Caenorhabditis elegans: one gene and its partners. The protein of the gene in region 3 interacts with the protein of the main gene of each other region in a pairwise test. Each region holds a gene or a part of one and is shown on either strand. Other genes may lie near its edges. The genes, in order: sax-3, rig-3 and cam-1.

Evidence for each region.
Region 1: the proteins of cam-1 (region 3) and sax-3 interact in a two-hybrid assay, tested with the Caenorhabditis elegans proteins (one study listed by BioGRID).
Region 2: the proteins of cam-1 (region 3) and rig-3 interact in a protein complementation assay, tested with the Caenorhabditis elegans proteins (one study listed by BioGRID).

Annotation. Positions count from the first base shown.
Region 1 is NC_003284.9:3,462,733-3,467,702, reverse strand, and holds the start of sax-3 (Protein sax-3), read left to right. Parts: upstream 1-1,775; 5' UTR 1,776-1,817; coding exon of another isoform or gene 1,818-1,847; 5' UTR 1,848-1,860; coding exon 1,861-1,933; intron 1,934-3,837; coding exon 3,838-4,193; intron 4,194-4,737; coding exon 4,738-4,970. UniProt on the Caenorhabditis elegans protein: Required to confine migrating sex myoblasts to the ventral muscle quadrants during their migration through the body and for multiple aspects of sensory, motor, and interneuron axon guidance.
Region 2 is NC_003284.9:6,851,817-6,859,701, reverse strand, and holds the start of rig-3 (Neuronal immunoglobulin domain-containing protein rig-3), read right to left. Parts: upstream 6,085-7,885; 5' UTR 6,059-6,084; coding exon 5,986-6,058; intron 4,276-5,985; exon of another isoform or gene 3,840-4,275; intron 1,391-3,839; coding exon 1,304-1,390; intron 1,246-1,303; coding exon 1,134-1,245; intron 927-1,133; coding exon 769-926; intron 713-768; coding exon 410-712; intron 360-409; coding exon 57-359; intron 1-56. UniProt on the Caenorhabditis elegans protein: Cell surface protein which plays a role in the plasticity of cholinergic synapses at neuromuscular junctions and in the polarity of the mechanosensory neuron ALM, possibly by antagonizing Wnt signaling.
Region 3 is NC_003280.10:9,307,100-9,311,879, reverse strand, and holds the start of cam-1 (Tyrosine-protein kinase receptor cam-1), read left to right. Parts: upstream 1-1,575; 5' UTR 1,576-1,578; coding exon 1,579-1,655; intron 1,656-4,780.

The DNA of each region.
Region 1 (4,970 bases), on a different chromosome or scaffold from region 3:
AAGTGTAACTATTGCTCATTGACAACGTATAGACACAACACGACAGATGTTGTATGACAGGGCCGGGTTTTCCTTCTTCTTCGTCGTCCTCCCGTCCCCCAATCGTTTGCCTCGTTGGTCCATGGGCATAGGTTCGGTCTACAATGGACCTAATGAACGGGTAGTCGAATGTGAGAGGAGGGCGGCCACGAATTGGAATAATTACTTAACCAGGGAAGGGGGCGACGTATAGCCCCGGCTATCCCCTCATATTCCATGCGGTTTCGTTCCGTATCGAGCCGCTTGCATGACATGGACATCCGTCATCGCCGTGCTCTTGACGCGCATTATTTAGGTTATTTATCTGACAATTATGAGCTTTCTGACGACCTTATTGAGTTGAGAGCTTTGATATGTTCTCGAGTACTTTCTTGTCTAGAATAAAGCGTATTGATTTTTCTTATTCGCCCGCCTGTTGCCAGATAGTTTATCTAATCAGTATTATTCAATCGCTGGCACAACATAAATCGATACTTGTCTCACTCCTCTTTGCGCGTTTATCTCCCCGCGCATTGCACACACACCTTGAAGAGGAAATCTGATGTCTAACATTCTGCGTCTACGCCTTCTAGCAATTCGTCTCAACGGTCCTCATTTTAAATGTTCTGCAAATGCATTTGTACTAAATTGTGATTTGTTTCTTTTTGGTTGTTAGAGAAACAATGAAAGCTTTTTGTATGTATAAAAATTTTGAACCATTTGGTGATGTTGAAAATCCGTTTTTCTTTTAATTTCAAGGTATTTTCCTAATTTTGGCCATTTTGCTGTGTTTGAAGTTTTTAATTTCCATGTTCAAATTGTAGCTATAGTTATTTTATTGATACTCTGGCAAAAATCAAATTTCCCAAGTAAAGTAAAACGCCTATATAGACTTGATGAAGTTCTACTTAGATTGAAACTTCAACGGATTCTTACTACAATCTTGCACAACTCCTGCGTAAAATAAAATTTTGCATAGCTTTTCGGGAGTCTTGTGCAGTTTGAAACAACTCCTGCACACTTCCCAATCTGCCACGAACTTAGTACTAAAGATTTTTTATATTTTTTGTCAGAGTAGGTTTCCTTTTTCAAGTTGCCTTTTCACTACACCAAATTTTGATTACGCCTCGCCGCATTTAAGAAAATCCTTTCAAAATCGACTTGTTCATTTTCTTTCATCTTCTATATCCATCCTTCATCCGTCCTTCTGCGCGTCATCTTTAACCAGTCTCACTACGTTTGCCTCCTAACTTTGCGTCCTCATTTTTTTTGTTGCTTGTCTTCCTGCTGGCTACTTTTGCCTCCCGTGCATTTTTTCTTTATTTTTTTTTGTCCAACATCTTCCGTCGCGTAGAAGACTAAATTTGTTCTTCATTCTAGAATGTGGCTCTCTAGTCCAATTTAGGGTCGGCTTCCGTCCGAATCGCTCCACCACCACCACCACCGAAAATGCGCAAAAACGGACGCACAAATCGTCTTCGCGTCTTGAAAACGACGACGACGACGCTCGTCAACTTTTCAATTACTTTGTTGTGTCTTTTCCTTTTTTCCTTCTAAATCTATTCTCCCGAGTGTCACCCTAGCAAAGATGAATGATTACACCCAGGGCCACGCTTTTTTCGCCCTTTTCCATCTTTTTCCCATCACCTATTTTGTCTTGTTTCTCCTTTTATATTCCCTCATTCTCTTTCCGTCATTTTGTCGCCCACTCTTAAAACAACCGCCAATAACTTTGATTACTTTTGTGTTTTTCTTGCAGGTGTCTCCCAACTGGAAATTCAGAACACCGCCACAATTAGATGCAGCCTTTGAAATTGGACACAGATTGAATAAAACAAGATCATGTTCAATCGAAAAACGCTGTTATGCACTATCCTCCTGGTATTGCAAGCAGTAATCCGAAGCTTCTGCGAAGGTTGGTTTTTTTTTTCTAGAAAAAAAATGTTAAGTTAAGAATGTACCAAAAGTGTCAAGTTACATGGTGAAAAAAACGCGTCGCCAACAAGACACGCTATTCGATCCACTCGTGGGTTTTCTTTGAATTCACTTGGAAACTTGGAAAATCCATTAGGTTGGGTTGTATTTCCCATGTCGAAGAAAGCGATTAAAACGAAGATTGACTGAATGCGCGGAAACGAATGCCCTCCATCTTGGAAAAATGCTCTTTACTCGCTGCTTTTTCTACTCTTGCGCTATTAGACATGACTCTTCATTTTGTCAAACACCAAAAGCGGGTTCGCTGCTTGGATTGTGAGCTCGTTTGCCGACTATAGTGTAAAAAGATTCGATTATCGTTTTGGACTGCCATCTGCCCTCTTGGCCGAGCCAAGCCCCGCTTTTGGATGGTAATGTTGAGAAAACAATAGTGAATAGGACGGGGGGAGAATAAATGGTATAGAAAATGAATGAGAGGAGTTAGTCTCATTGAGGCGCGTGTTCTCAAGTATTCACCATTCAAATGCTAATCTCTTAAAACAATAAGTCTTTTTGTACAGCGACCAGAGCCAGTGTAATTTGCAACGAAAATATAAGAAACAGTTGGGAGCGACCACCCGCAGACTCTCGATATTTGTCTTGTTCCACATTTCCACATTTCCACAATGTAATTTGTGCAATGTGCAAGTCATTATTCAATGTGATAAATTGCCCCAACCTGGGTCATTTAAACATTTTAGCACAGTTTTAAGATGCATGCGAATATCCGTAAAATTGAGAATCATTAGCATGCGGTTGATAGAAGATGAGAAGCTATTTGAAATCCCTCCCCAGAGACTAGTAGGTTATTAATGAGCTGTTGGCGCTGTCCAAAATATTCAGTTGCATCTCATGTTTTAGAAAGACAGCCTGCTTTTTAGCAGAAGCTTTCAACACCAATGTGTTGCGAAAGAATGACGGGCGAATTGTGAAATTGGGTGTTGACAGGATGAGATATGTGTACATCTTCACAGCTCTTTGGTTTTGTCTTGCCTATGGATGAAAAGGCGGGCAGGCAGCGTAGTATAATATTTTGAAGGTTAACACGGCCATTAAATTGTAGCCAGAGTACAATACATTGGTTCATGGATAGTTTACTCGCGTGCGCACATTTTGACACTGGCACGCTAGATTGTTGAAAGGTTAAAGAGGTGACAGAAGAGACAGAAGGACAGCCAGGCTAATTAAATTGTTGAATCCGGCAGCTTGTTAGCCACACTTTGGTCTGGTAATTTACTAGTGGAAAACAACAGTGGTCCGTATTTTGAAGTGGAGGAAAACAAGTCGGCCTGCTGAAATTTTTATTAAGTGTGTGCGCAGCAGTGTCAGGGTGAATGCCATAAACAAGTGATTCAAAATGGCTTTTTGATATTTTTTGAAGCAGATGGGAGAAGATGGGTAATCCGTCGGAGGTCAATGGCAATCTTATGTAATAGACCACCGACACCCAATAAACCAGCCGTTAATGTACTATCTAGGTTTTTACCACACTCACACACACACACACACATACATAAATTTTGATAAAATTCCTAGTGAATCATTTTATTACCTACCGTCCGTCAAGGACAATAGTGTCGCACATCTCTACTGAAAAATCGGTGAGGGAAGGTGTTCGTTTCGACACCATAATACAGATGTGACAGTATTGCGCGTGCCGGATCGGTCAGATTGATTTAATGCACTTGGACAAGTTTCCTTTCTTATTCACATTGTCAAGATGGATAAAATCAAAGTGTTGATGTATGTGGAAATAAGATGAATGGGAGATGAGGAAAGTAAAAAAAATTCTAACAGGGGAATGATGTTGTTTTGAACCTTTTCAAATCTTGAATATAATTTCAGATGCCTCAAATCTCGCTCCCGTGATAATCGAACATCCCATCGATGTGGTGGTATCTAGGGGATCGCCAGCAACCCTCAACTGTGGTGCAAAGCCATCTACCGCCAAAATCACATGGTACAAGGATGGACAGCCCGTAATCACGAATAAGGAGCAAGTGAACAGCCACCGGATTGTTCTCGACACGGGATCCCTGTTTCTTCTGAAAGTGAATAGTGGAAAAAACGGAAAAGACAGCGATGCGGGAGCGTACTATTGTGTGGCCAGCAACGAGCACGGAGAAGTGAAGTCGAACGAAGGATCGTTAAAATTGGCGATGCTTCGCGAAGACTTTCGAGTTCGGCCAAGAACAGTTCAGGTAAAGTTTAATACTTTGAATAATATTACGTATTTTTTCACTTAATCCTGCACTTTTCTACTTTGACAGTTTACCTTATAATCTCTATTACTGCGGCATTTCCATGGCTCAACCCTGACAGTTCGTATCTCGGTCAAATTGGATTTTTTGTAAAAATTTTAACTGAGCACAGTTTTGTTAAATTTCTCTGTAAATTTATTGTTTTTGAACTTCTTAATATCTTCAAAAGCATTCGAGACATATGCTGTCAGTTAAACAGTTGGGGTGCCGCACAAATAGAGAATAAAACGGCATATTCTGAGTCAGTTCAAATATGTCACCTCATTTTTTAGTGTTAAACTACAGAAAAAAAAAATTATCACTATTTTGTCAGTTGAAAATTTTTGGTAACCCCGAAAAACCGAAGATTTGGACCATCAATGTTACAAAAAACTTCATTCGTCAGTTTTTCAAAAACTGTAAACCGCACTGCACAATTTGTCAACGCGATTTTTAGACCATTAAAAAATAATTATTCACAGAAGCGTTACTCAATTGTTTTCAGGCTCTTGGTGGAGAGATGGCCGTTCTGGAATGCAGTCCGCCACGTGGATTCCCGGAGCCGGTTGTGAGCTGGCGGAAAGACGACAAAGAGCTCCGAATTCAAGACATGCCACGATACACTCTACACTCTGACGGAAACCTCATCATTGATCCGGTCGATCGAAGCGATTCTGGTACTTATCAGTGTGTTGCCAACAACATGGTCGGAGAACGGGTGTCCAATCCCGCAAGATT
Region 2 (7,885 bases), on a different chromosome or scaffold from region 3:
AATTTAAGTGTTCGGCAGGGAATGTAGTGAACATTAACATTCAAAAAAAAACTCACTGGCTTCTCTAAGATGAATTGTATGGTAGGATTTTGCTTTGATATTGTTAGCTTCGCATTTGTAAGTGCCCAAATCGTTCTCATTGACATTGTGAATTTTGAGATGTGCTCCTTGAGAAACTCCGACATTCACAAAAATGTTGAATTTATCGCTCATCTTGATCTCCTCGTCTCCGTGATAAAAAGTGTAGTGACGAACTGGTGGGAAGGAATGTGTCACATTACAGTAGATAATTGCATCACGGACGTGGTTATCAATAACTGTGTACTGCACAGATTCTTCCGTCTCAAACTCGGGAAGGGCTGCAAAATACATTTTTAAGAATAGTGCAAATACTAAACAAATGTCTTACTGTAAACTTCGATGTTAACATCTTTTCTGTCAACAACTGGGAATTCTTCCTTGCTTGTTTCCTGGTGCATCTCAATAGTAATACAAGACACTGTTAACTCGGCATGCTCTTTTTTCAAGCTATCAATGGTGGCTTCATTTCCAGCAATTGTCCAGATTTCTTCATCGAGTGGCTCACCATTTCCATTTGTCATCTGAATCATTGGTTCTTTACCGGATGGCCCCTTAACTCCACAGTCAATTGTGATGGGCTCTCCAAGAAGTGCTCCCTTCACAGTATCTTTATCATTCCATTCAATGGCAGCTGTAAATTTTTAAATATTGTTTTGAATTATTTTCAGTTCAAGTAAAACTTCTTACGGAGTACGACCAATTTGATGGTCTTCTCGAAATTTTCTCCCCCAGCAGTTCTTCCTGTGCACGTGTAGAGTCCGGTGTCTCTCGTGTGAACCGATGAGAAATGTAGCGATGTTTTGCGATGTTTGCTCCCCTTTTCGTTCAAAATCACAGAGAAAAGACTGAAAAAATCTTTGTTTTTGGATTTTTTGTCGTTTTCTGCGTGTAGATTTTTTTTTATGTAACTGGTTTTGAATATCGAATTTCGAGGAAAAATGGGCAGAAAAGGAAGGGAAATATCCTATTCAAGAAATGAAATATAACACTGCTTTTTTCGGCTTTCATCACATTTTTTATTTGTCGAAAAAAAAATTGAAAAGTTTTCTAACCTTGGATTGGATTCTCCGTCGATATTGTTTCCATTAGCTTGTTTCCAAAGAAGATCACTTTTGTGGATTTGTTCGTCACTTTCAAATACACAACTAACCATTAACTTCTTTCCTGAAATAATAATTTTCAGAATATCAAAAAAGTTAAAATTTTTAAATATAATAAAAACCTTCTCTGACTGTGATTGTGTTTGTGTCGTAATCCATGGCTTCTGATGAAATGACGATAGGATTTGCCTCATTGGAAGATGGACTATCTGAAATTTAAACAAAATTAAAACAATTTATTTCCCCTTTCATTGTTAGTCGGAAAGACTGGAAGCGTTTTGGATACCCATTTCCGGTAAATATATAATTAAGGAAGTATGGCGGACCGACATATCGAGTTTCGTCGATGTGAAAATTTTCACGAGTCATCTGTTTCGACTCGATTACATTCATTCGAAATTACCTATCTTATTCGAGCCTTTTAGTCATTTATTTGCACAAAGTGACTCATATTTGGGTGGCAATAATAGAAAAGAAAACAAGTTAGACACATAGTTATCGCGCAAATTTAAGACGTCGGACAAAGTGAAGAACATTTATAAAAACACAACTTCTTAAAGCATTAATGAGCACAGCAAAATATTTGCACTGACCAAAAAGAATCGTCTCAACGAACAATGGAATTAAACGATTATCTCGCGTTCTAACGAATAGACTTCTTTTTCTCAAAAAATCCTCGTATTCCAAGTAATCTACACCTGTAAGGGAGTTTTTTAAAATTTTTTACTATGTCATTTTAGAATCATAAAACTGGGGTTTCCCCACTGGCCATAACTCTTCCATCATTTTGAAAAAATTTCCCTGCCTCCTCGAGCATCCGTTAAAACATCATCTAAATGTGTAAATGCCACAAAACAAATTGTATTATCTTACGCAACTGTTCAAATGACAAATTTCACAACTTGGGTTTCTTATTTACTGTTCACCGAACACTTTTCAAGTATCCCTCTTTTACCGCCATCAATGTGTTGCTCATTTGCTTTTCTTCATCCCGAAAAGGTGTCATTGGACACTGCTAAAATTTGCATAACGGGACACATAAGAACCAGCAGTTAGTGTACCAACAAGAAACAATAGTAATAATGATGTACACTCGAATCTGTTCCTCCCCCCTCCTTTTCCCGTTTACCCCATTTCATTTACCATCTTGTCTTCATTAGCAGTACCAATATGCTAATATTCCGAGGAAGGGGAATAAAAGAGGGGTATTGGGAGTCTTGGGATCATGGTCCATGAGCATATGACGAATATGATAAATTATGGATGCCAAAGAAAAAGAAAACCAAAAAGAGCCCTTTTCGATTCACAGCAGTTTCTCACGATATGGTATTCATTCAGTGTATTCATAGTGGAGCCATTTACTATTCAAGGTGTCACATCGCATGATCAACTTATTTTTTTTTTACTCCTTTCACTCTTGGATGAAAAAGAAAACATGATTAAATTACCTAAAAAATAGTAACGTGGTTGGTTATAAGCAACCAATTTGGTATCGCAAATGACATCCTTACATGTTGTTTGTTCCATTGGTAAAAAAAAAGAAAAGAACGAGAAAGTTGGAGAGTATCAGGTAATTGAATTTTGTTGTTCCACTTCCCAAAAGGTCTCATAGTCCCTCTGCCTCAGGGGACTTTGCGTTCAACCAAAGAAAACTGCAAGTACTTTTCTCTCACTGTGTTCTTAAGCTTTCTCAAGCGATGAATGTAACTCGATCTGTTTGATGGTCATGTAAAAACTCAGGCCACTGTAGTTGAATCGTGTTGTTTGGTAGAAAAGAAGAAAAAGACATGAAATTGCATACCGTGCGTAATATGGAGAAACGGACAAACTTTGATTGCTTGATCATGCTCACATTGTTGAATTCTAATACAAAAGTTCAAAATCAAATATATGTCAAATTCAGATCTATGCCTGGAAATTATGAAATTTTGTTTGAAACCAGTAAGAATATTGTTGAAAATCTAACCTGGATTGCTGAAAAACAAGCATCAAAATTTCTCAAAATCTTTTGTAATTATTTTAATTTCCATTCGGCAATTATAGAGGTTACCCCTTATACAAATTTGTGAAGTCAAAAAAGTCATCTACGACATTCATATGTTAATGACGGTTTAGTTTTTTAAATATTTAAAAATTAAATATTTAAAATAATTTAAAATTTTAAATAAATTTAAAAATAAAAAAATAAAAAATTGTAACACGTTCATTTTTCTGAAAACCCCACAATTTTGAAATCATCAAAACTTTGACTGAAAACTTTGTTAAACCATACATTTTTGGAGTGTTTTTTAATTAATATATTCATAAATATCTTCTAATTTTTCTATTTGAACATTATAGGGGCTCAAACCTACAGCGATTCTCGAAGTTGATACGTTTTTGAAAAATTCGGTAATTTACCAAAATTTGACAATCGTAAGTGTCTAAAAGCTAAATATCCACTGACGATACTCCGCAAAATTGAGAGATGGAAATAATGGGCTCAAAAACAAAACAAGTGGATATAAATACTGATACATAATACAGAAGCGTTCAGTAGTATATTATTTTGTTTATTATTTGTACCGCACATTTATTCACAGCCCTCTAATTACCTAGCTTCTCACACAATAGACTCAATCGTCTTCCATTGGTGGTTATTTATCAAAACAGTTATGTATTCTCTTTTGTTGACCCGTATTCCATATTACTAACAAATTTAACCATTCCAGCAACCCTTCTCTTTCCAAACCATTCATGTTTAATTCAGGGTTTCTAATTTGAACAACAAGGGAAACAAGGATGAGGAGGGGGTGTCCTCTCAGCGTGTCCGCGGTCTGTTGGACCCTCCAGAATTCTTTTGACTCTTTGACTTTAAACCGCCCTAATTGTCGTGTCACGCATGATTTAGTAGGTGTTCTTTTTTCGCCGGTTCTCATATTTTCCATTAATTCTTTTGACTTCCCAAACGCGAAAATTTCCAAAACCTTTTATCATTATTAGAAGAGCTAGTGTTGAGTAAGCCTGGTAAACGGTTGTAGGCAGTTAGACAAACATTTGGATAACTGTGTAGCGGGAGAAAAATCAGTAGTAAGTAGTAAAATTCCGATGTTATGTGATGCGTAATATGGATTATGATTAATGTACTGTTGTTTGGAAAAGGAAACGGAACTTTATATCTACAAATGAAAATAAGTGTGTGGCTACTGCTCCGTTTTTCTGTTTTGGTGGAAATATCAAACTTGGCAGCACTTTCAAATTTTTTCCGCGTCGTCAATCCTATTGAAAAGTTACTATGGAAAGTGGTGCACCTGCTATTCAATGTTCTTTTCTTGACCCCTTTTACACTACTTGCTACCAGATTTAGGAAGTCTATGTACATAGTTGTTCCCATCCGTGTTTCCGCCACCTGCCTCGAAAATTGCAACGACCCTCGATAGATATATTTCAACATACTGATCGATCAGCGCAAAAAATACACAAAACTACCAGCATACAATACATGAACCTCGGAGAGCTGGAGGTCTTCTTGCAAGCATCTGAACACACACACACACACTCACACACATACATAACGAGCGCCTGTGTTACCTACTCTTCCGTCTCTTCTTTTCAAATGTCAATAGGCACGGGAAAAAACGTCCAATCAATAAGAAAAATGGACAAAAAGAGGAAGACAACGATGAGCAAATGGCCATTTCTAAGGTTTCATTTCTTTGCGCCTGTTTGCCTCCGAAATGTTAAGCCATTGAGAGGAAAGGTGGGAGAAGGGCTCCATTCCACACTCCTTTTTCTTCATCGCACAAAACAAAAAAGCATGGCAAACAATTGAAATTATTGAAAACGAGCAGAATTGCATCGCAACGATACTAAGGCAACATTATATTGTAGGAAGGGAATCGCTGAGAACATCTTTTTGTTATAGGAAGGTATTTAGAAAGCGAAACGACTTCCGATTCAAAAAAAATGCGTGAAAACGTTCTCACTTCACACTTCTCACTTTGATTCTTGTTCCCTTATTCTCAAGTGTTCTTGTTTTTTTTTAATGATGACAAACAGTTCTGGGTATTTTGAACGTATAGACAAAATGTGATCAAGCCATTGAATACCGAATTCAAATTTCTAAAGAAATTTTCAAAAATTATATGATGGTATTATTTTTAGAGTTTCAGCTACTTTGAAATTTTAACGGCTAAAGAAAATTGAATTTTTTTGAGAAGTTTAATTACGAAATTCTTCATTTAAGCACATTTTGAGCCAATACGTTCAAAATACCCAGCACCATTAGGTCTTCTTTAAAAGAAAGATACTAATATCGTAACAGCTCATGTCAGATCAAGTTTACTCCAATCCCAGAATGTATTTATATGCCCTTTACCCATGTGAAATCTTCTTCTAAACTCTTTTTCACGAAAAACCAGACATTGTGGATGCGACACGACAAAAAGGGGTCTATTAGTAGCAAGTTGGCAAGTGTCTCTCAAGGGAAAAAGCACAGCGCACACATGTTTTGAAACTTTTGCCCAAGAAATGCATTTGCGCGGTATGGGTGTGATTCAGTAGCACTGATGGGCTCTGAAGTTCCTAAGATTGTATCATCATCATCATCTGGTCGTCTTGTTTATATCGCGCCACCACCCGCGGATTTCGTCGAAAAAGATAAACTTTTCAAGTGGGGCACCCACTCGAAATGCTCGAACTATCGCAATTGATATACCAAGCGCTAATTTCAATGCTATGCAAGAACCAAAGGATCGAATGAACTTTTCTATTGTAAGTGGGGTTCAGGAAAAAAAAATTTAGTAGAAAACAAAACAAAACTAACCTGATGCGGAAACTGCGGAAACGAAAAGACACATCGCAAGAGGGAAGAGCATCTTGGCAAGTAGTCGTCCCATTTTCGAAAAAGAAGAATGAAGTTCTTCTGCAAGGAATGACAAATAGCTGTGAAATTTTTAGGCAGTTGACCACATACGGCTGGTGAAGAAAAAAGTGTTTAAAAAACATTTTGGCGGATTGTGATGGGATCAATGAGGGGATTAAAAATGAGGACGAGATGAAATTATGAGTAAATAATGGAGGGTCTAGATAGCCTTTTTTCATCCAATTAGAAATGCTAGGAATTTTTTTTGGAAGTTGAAACCTACAGTTGAAAATTGCAGTGGCTAAATACTTTCACTAATGTTAGAATACTCGAATCTTGTAAAAAATCAATTGACTGTTCTAGAAAAATGTAGTTTGTAATTCTGAAAATAGTTTTCTGGAAGCTTACTGGACAACAATAAGTGTTGGTCTGTATCTATCTTTTTCTGTGTGTGCAAAAGAGAAGGGCAGAGTGTATGAGTGCGCTGCCCCCGATTCCTACTCCGCCCGCCCTCTCCTCGCGCACTAGGAGATAGAGCCAGACGGTTATGAGAAACCGAAAATGGACCGCCTACATTTTCGAAAGAGTGTTGTTACCATCCTTTTTAAATGGTAAAAGCATTAGGTGAGCAAGAGGGGAACATTTTGGCCAGTTTCGAAATTCGTTCAAATTGAAAACAGGGTTTTGTGAGTCATCTACATAGGATTCTGGTTACAAGTTTTGAGGAGTTTGTCTCAAAGTTTAGGGTACATGGGTAACAGTTACACTTTAAAACATGACCCAGTCTTGACAAGTTAATGAACTTGTAACAACCTGAAAAGTTATGCCTCAAAAGTGACACTATGAGATCGATTTCTATTACAAGATATTCACAGCAAACTGAGAACTCGATTCGTGACAAATGACGAGTATACTCATTTTACGCGTATTATACAAATAAAATAAAAAATTTTCTTAAATCATTTTAAAACATTTTTTGGTACTGTCACTGCCAAACGCTTTACAAAATCAATATTTTTTATAGAAAAGAAAATTATAATAGGTTTAAGCTTTCTTCATTCGAAATTATTTTTAAACAACCATCATGATGTCACAAATAGTTTGAATGAATAAACTACATGATAATGAAGATCTGAAACTGGGCCATCGAATGAATAAAGAAAAATCAGTTAATGAAAAAATTTGCGGTACAAAAATTACAAAAAAAATAAACCTTTTTAATTATACAGAGTGGATTTTTCATCTTATCTTTCAATTTCCCAAATCTCAATACAGCTTAAGTATTTTACCATAGCAATAGCAGGAAAATTTCCCATTTCCGCCTCATTTTTGTAAAGACAAACGCGGGGGTTGCTGGGCGTTTCGGAGCACTGAGTCATGTGGGATATGTATGAAGTACATTAGAAACCATTTTTTGGTGGGATTGCGGATCTTGCAGCCTACGCAAAATTTAGAGAAAGAGCCACGTGGTTAGATAACACCACAACAAAACAAATGGGAATTTAGTTCAGTGCTGGCACTGTCATACATCAAAAACAAATGACAGTTTCCGGTGAAAAACGCGTAGGTGGATTGCTGGAGTGGTGGGTTTATCTTAAACTTTTTCTTTGGAAGATGAAAAAAAAAACGATTTTTCCTACTAGGTTCATGCATTTGATTTTATTTGGAACCATTAGCTATCTCAATTTTCGACAAGGACGCGCCATTTTACGACTTTCAAATAAAAAGAGCCCCCACAATTTGATCGAAAACGGCAAAAAGGTAAATTGGAGGTGGAATCGAATTAGGGTTGCGTTGGCTTGGACGACTCAAGCTGAAGGATTTGGTTTGTTATTAAATGTGACGAAATGGGACCAGGAAG
Region 3 (4,780 bases):
TCTTCTACATTCGGTGAACACAATTCTGAAGCAGCACGAGCAGGAGCATGCACTTACTTTCAAATTCTATAATAATCATTTTGCGTTTCTCTTTTTATCCGATTTACGCTCTCAGGGATGAATGCTCCAGTGTATCTAGGATTTTGAGAAACATATACAAAATTAGCTCATGCTGAAGGTTTCGAAATATCTACTGCAGATCACACATGTTTTAGGAACATACATTTTGGCCAATTTGTTTATATCTACCGTATCATTTCTAATAAAATTATTGTAATCATTTACACGTTCTGAAAGTTTTTTAATCGACCTGAAAATATTTGTTCACATAGTCGAAAGGTTTGGAAACCTGCCCATGAATTTACGAACGTTCATTGGACTTTCTGGACATGTGACAATTTTTCAATAATTTAATTAGAAGATCCATGATCTCATATTTTGTGCAATATATAAATGTTTTCTCTGAAATTTAGCTGTTCTTCTTCGAATGGGACTCTCCCAGAATTCCCGTTTGAAATTCCATTCAGAACATCAACAGGAAGCATATCATTTGGTTTTCTCACGTTATTTCCGGAGTTTGTTTTGGACCTTGATTTTCAAGTATAAATTGGGATTTGGTTTCTAGTATTAAAATGACAAAGTGAAATATTAGAAAAAATATTTGGAAATAAAATCATGCAATTAAACATTTTAAGAACACCATTTTAAAAATTTTACAGTTGAGTTTTTTGATGGGTGAAACACCTAAATTTTTGACAAACTTTCGTCATAATTCCACTTTCTTACTTTTAAAATAAGTGACAATCTAGTGTATATCCAGCTGTGTCAGGAAACTCAATTATTTTCCAAATTGCTTTATAAGCCTTATTAGACAGGTGTGAAAACCCGTGTATTACTAAAATTGCATGAAAGAATGCTCATCTTTTCTTCTCTAAATCTCTTTTTCATTCAATTTTCTTCCATTTTTCATCACCAACTCTTTCTTCTAACTCATTGCTTCACAACTCTTCGTGCTCCTGCTCATTTCTCAGTCATCCATCACATTTATTTTACATGCAAAATGAGTGGAAAAGCGCATCAAAATGTGTACTACTAATATGAAAATGACTTTTTTCCCGTCTCTTTTTGTACTTCATCCTCAATTCATTTCGATTTGAGAAAAAAAGTTTCATTGGTGGTCCTGAAAGTTGTCATCTAATGAAAAAGACCTGCGTCTCTTCTGGAAATGAATTCAGAATTAGAAGAGAGAAAAGTTGTCGAATTCATGACTTAAGAAAACTGAAATTCTATACTTTTTCTTAAATTTCCTCTCAAATTCTCATGATAAATTCTGCGATTTCTGAAATCTCACCTGCCATTTCTCAACTTTTTTTTTAGCCGGCTTAAGCTTTATACTTCAATTCAACTTTTGCTTCACTGAACTTTATGAATTTCTGTTTTTTTAAAGTAATATTTGAATTACCTTTTTTTATGTTACTGGTGCTGAAATTCTCGATTCGAATAAATTTTTGAACTCTGTATATTACCATCTCGTTCCATTTTTTAATTTTTATACCCTAAATCTTGAATATTCCAGAAATGTCTCCCCGACCAGAAGACGACGATCTCGTGATAGAACCAGCCGACGATGAGGGTCTTCACTACGGAAATGCATCGTGAGTATTACTGTCTTTTGATACGATAATTATAGTAATTAGATACGGGTGGTAGAAACTGTAGCTGCCTATTTTGGCAACAAACGGTTCGGTTATTTACTATCAGATTAAATGAATATGGGTCAAATACAAGTAGTTTATTAGATTGCCTCAAAAACACAAAATGCTTAAATCTAGTGAGTCTATAGATGTACAGTTTGCTGACTACAAAAATTTTTAACGACCTCTAAAATGCGCGTCCACCTCTTGGCGTATAAAATATAAACTTTAAAAGCATTTAATCAGTTCATATAGATTTTCATATATGTTCATATAGATCAGTTCATATAGATTTTCAAAAAATGTATTTAAAATAAACCCAATTACTTCTTGATTTCTGAATAAAACCATATGGTTACCGCCATCCGTTCCCACATTCATCAAGCTCGCCCGATGAGTATTATGCAGTATGTGATCTTCACCGTTAGAATCTTGATTATAAAAATAATGTTCAATGGGAAATTTTTCTGCAATTCTCCCTCCACCCAACTTATTATCTTCATTCAAAATCTTGAAAACTTCCGTCGTGTCGACTTCCCATTTTTCATCTTTTTGACAAGTTTGCAACTTGCGATTAGTTTTAGCGCAATTTTTATTAGATTTTGAGTTAAATTAATTGCTAAAGGGGTCAACTTCGAAAGTGATTTATTTCAAATTTTTGTGAATTTTAAGTAGCTAATACTTTGTCAATATCAAAAATCAAATCGTTATGAAAATAATTTTTGGCTCGATTTTTGCCTAAGTTATTTTAACTTGTTAAAAAAATTGACAAACTTTATATAGTGCTTTTAGGCAAAACGTGGGCAGAAGCTGAAACTCGCTCAATTTTTTCCATTTTTCGAGCAATACTTGGATATGGTCTCAGTCAAGTGTTACAAATTTTTTCGCCAGTTTTGTATTTTTAAGAGAAAAGTTGTGTAATATTTTGGTGCCAAATGCCGATATCTCACATTTTTGATGAATTTTGGTAATTAGATATAACATCACGATCCAAAATTTTCCGTTAGCACCCATTCTTTTGGAAATTTCAATTATTATTTTTTCATCCATATTTTGTACCACTATAGAGCATCAAAATGTCATTCCGGATGCGGAAATTGGGTTAACTGACACAAGCTCATTTCCCTCAAACAAACGGAGTGACATGCCCATATAATGGATGACCATTCTCCCACCTCTTCTGTTCTACATATTGCATAATCCACTTGACACCTATATACATCCACCAACACCCGGACGTCTTCCTCCTCTTTCACCCATACAACGGACCACCCCCACCCTAACCGTGACCATCTCCTCTCTCTCTCTCTTTCCCTAATATCTGACAAAACGGACTGACCTCTGCCTTCTTTCCTACTGTCAGTCATCCCCTGTGTCTCTGCGTCTCATTGAATCAGTATACTATTTCTCGGGGATTCTGTCGAATGGGCCCTCCCCGCCAAACGCGCTCCGCACATTCATCCGACGGATGGACTACTCGATTTATAATTTATTGGCCTTGTAATGATGACACATCGTAAAAAAGAAGTTAATTTATCACTATTTATTAGTTTCTTTTTCTAATTAATTTATAACTTTCGAATCATTTTTGAACGGTTTTTAGTGATTAGAAAACAGTTTGATTCCAATATTAAGGTCTTATTACTAATCTATAATAGGCATTTTAATACTAGCTTGATTTAGTCTGCTTAATCCTAAATATCGTTCAGTCAATCCGCACTTCTCCTCCCCGGAAATGAAATATTCCTAAACTTGAATTAGCTGAATTTATCTTGAATTTTTATTTTGGTTTCTAGGTTTAGTGTACTAAAATCCTGGAGATAGTTTTAAACAATCTTACGGTTTTTAACAAACCTCCATATTTTGCCATTTGGAGAACTATTCTTTAAGTGCGCAAGATTTGTTTCCACAACTTTTAACTAAATTCTAAATTATTTTTATATCTTCAGCCTCACATGTAGAAAAATTTGTCAAAACTTACTTTTTTATATTCGTTATCAAATCTCTTATTTTTCTTCTTCTCTTATCACCGATTCCATTAATTTGACCTGACAGCCGAGCATGCGTTCCACATCTTTTACGTCATCTATCTATTACCATTCCATCTTCTTCCCGTATTCCAAAACTCCCTTCACACCTTTTGTCTATACTTGTTTCCCAGGCTCTGTCAGTATATTTGCAATTGGATCAATATCCTATTACTCCTGAATAGGCTAATGGAACTCGCATTTCGATGCGAATAATAGTCATTTAGGTGGGCTATTATTACTGACTAGTGAGTCTCGTGTTCAGGTTTAGATGAAATTTTGTTTTGAGGCAAGGTTATACCTGATAGAGCATTTTTGATTTCGAAATTATTTTGCTCAGACTGAACTATTTCCATTTCTTTCAATGGGTGGCAAACTGCAGTTAGTCAATTCACAGTCAACTTTCTTCAGGCACAGAAAAATTGAGTGATTTTTTAAATTTTCATATTAACAATTCCACCAATTGCAAGTACACCCAACAACCGAAAGTGATTGTAAGATCAAAACATTGGGTTGAAAAGTGTTTGTATCTATCTCGGTCTCTTCTTCTGTAGTAAATTGTGCCTAACACACTGTTTCAATGTTTGTGATCCACTTTCCAATTCCGTTCTCATCATCATGTTTATCCTTGTCGGTAGTCGGCTTTTACTGGCTCTCTGTAGAGACTGTGATGATCTTTTATAGGAATTTGTGATTTGTTTGGACAACTTGGAAGTCAATTTTTTAAACTTATACTCCCTAGAAAGATTATTTTCAGAAACTTCTTAGTGTAATTTTTCTTATGTTTCTATTATAGTTGCCCAAAAAATTTCAACACCAAAAAACTACATTGCTTGATTCCAAATTTGAAAATTCGAAATACAAGTCACATACACACTCTCAAATTTGGCACCATGAGCCCATTCTCCATCTCTCTGTGACTCTTCGAATTTCCCCATGTTCTTTAGTTCATTGCAACTCCATCAATCTTCATCATTATTTCAACTATTTACGCGCCCCCAAGTCTCGCACACACACGGACAACTTTCGTGATTTAGTGAGTGAGCACAGGGTCCCTTT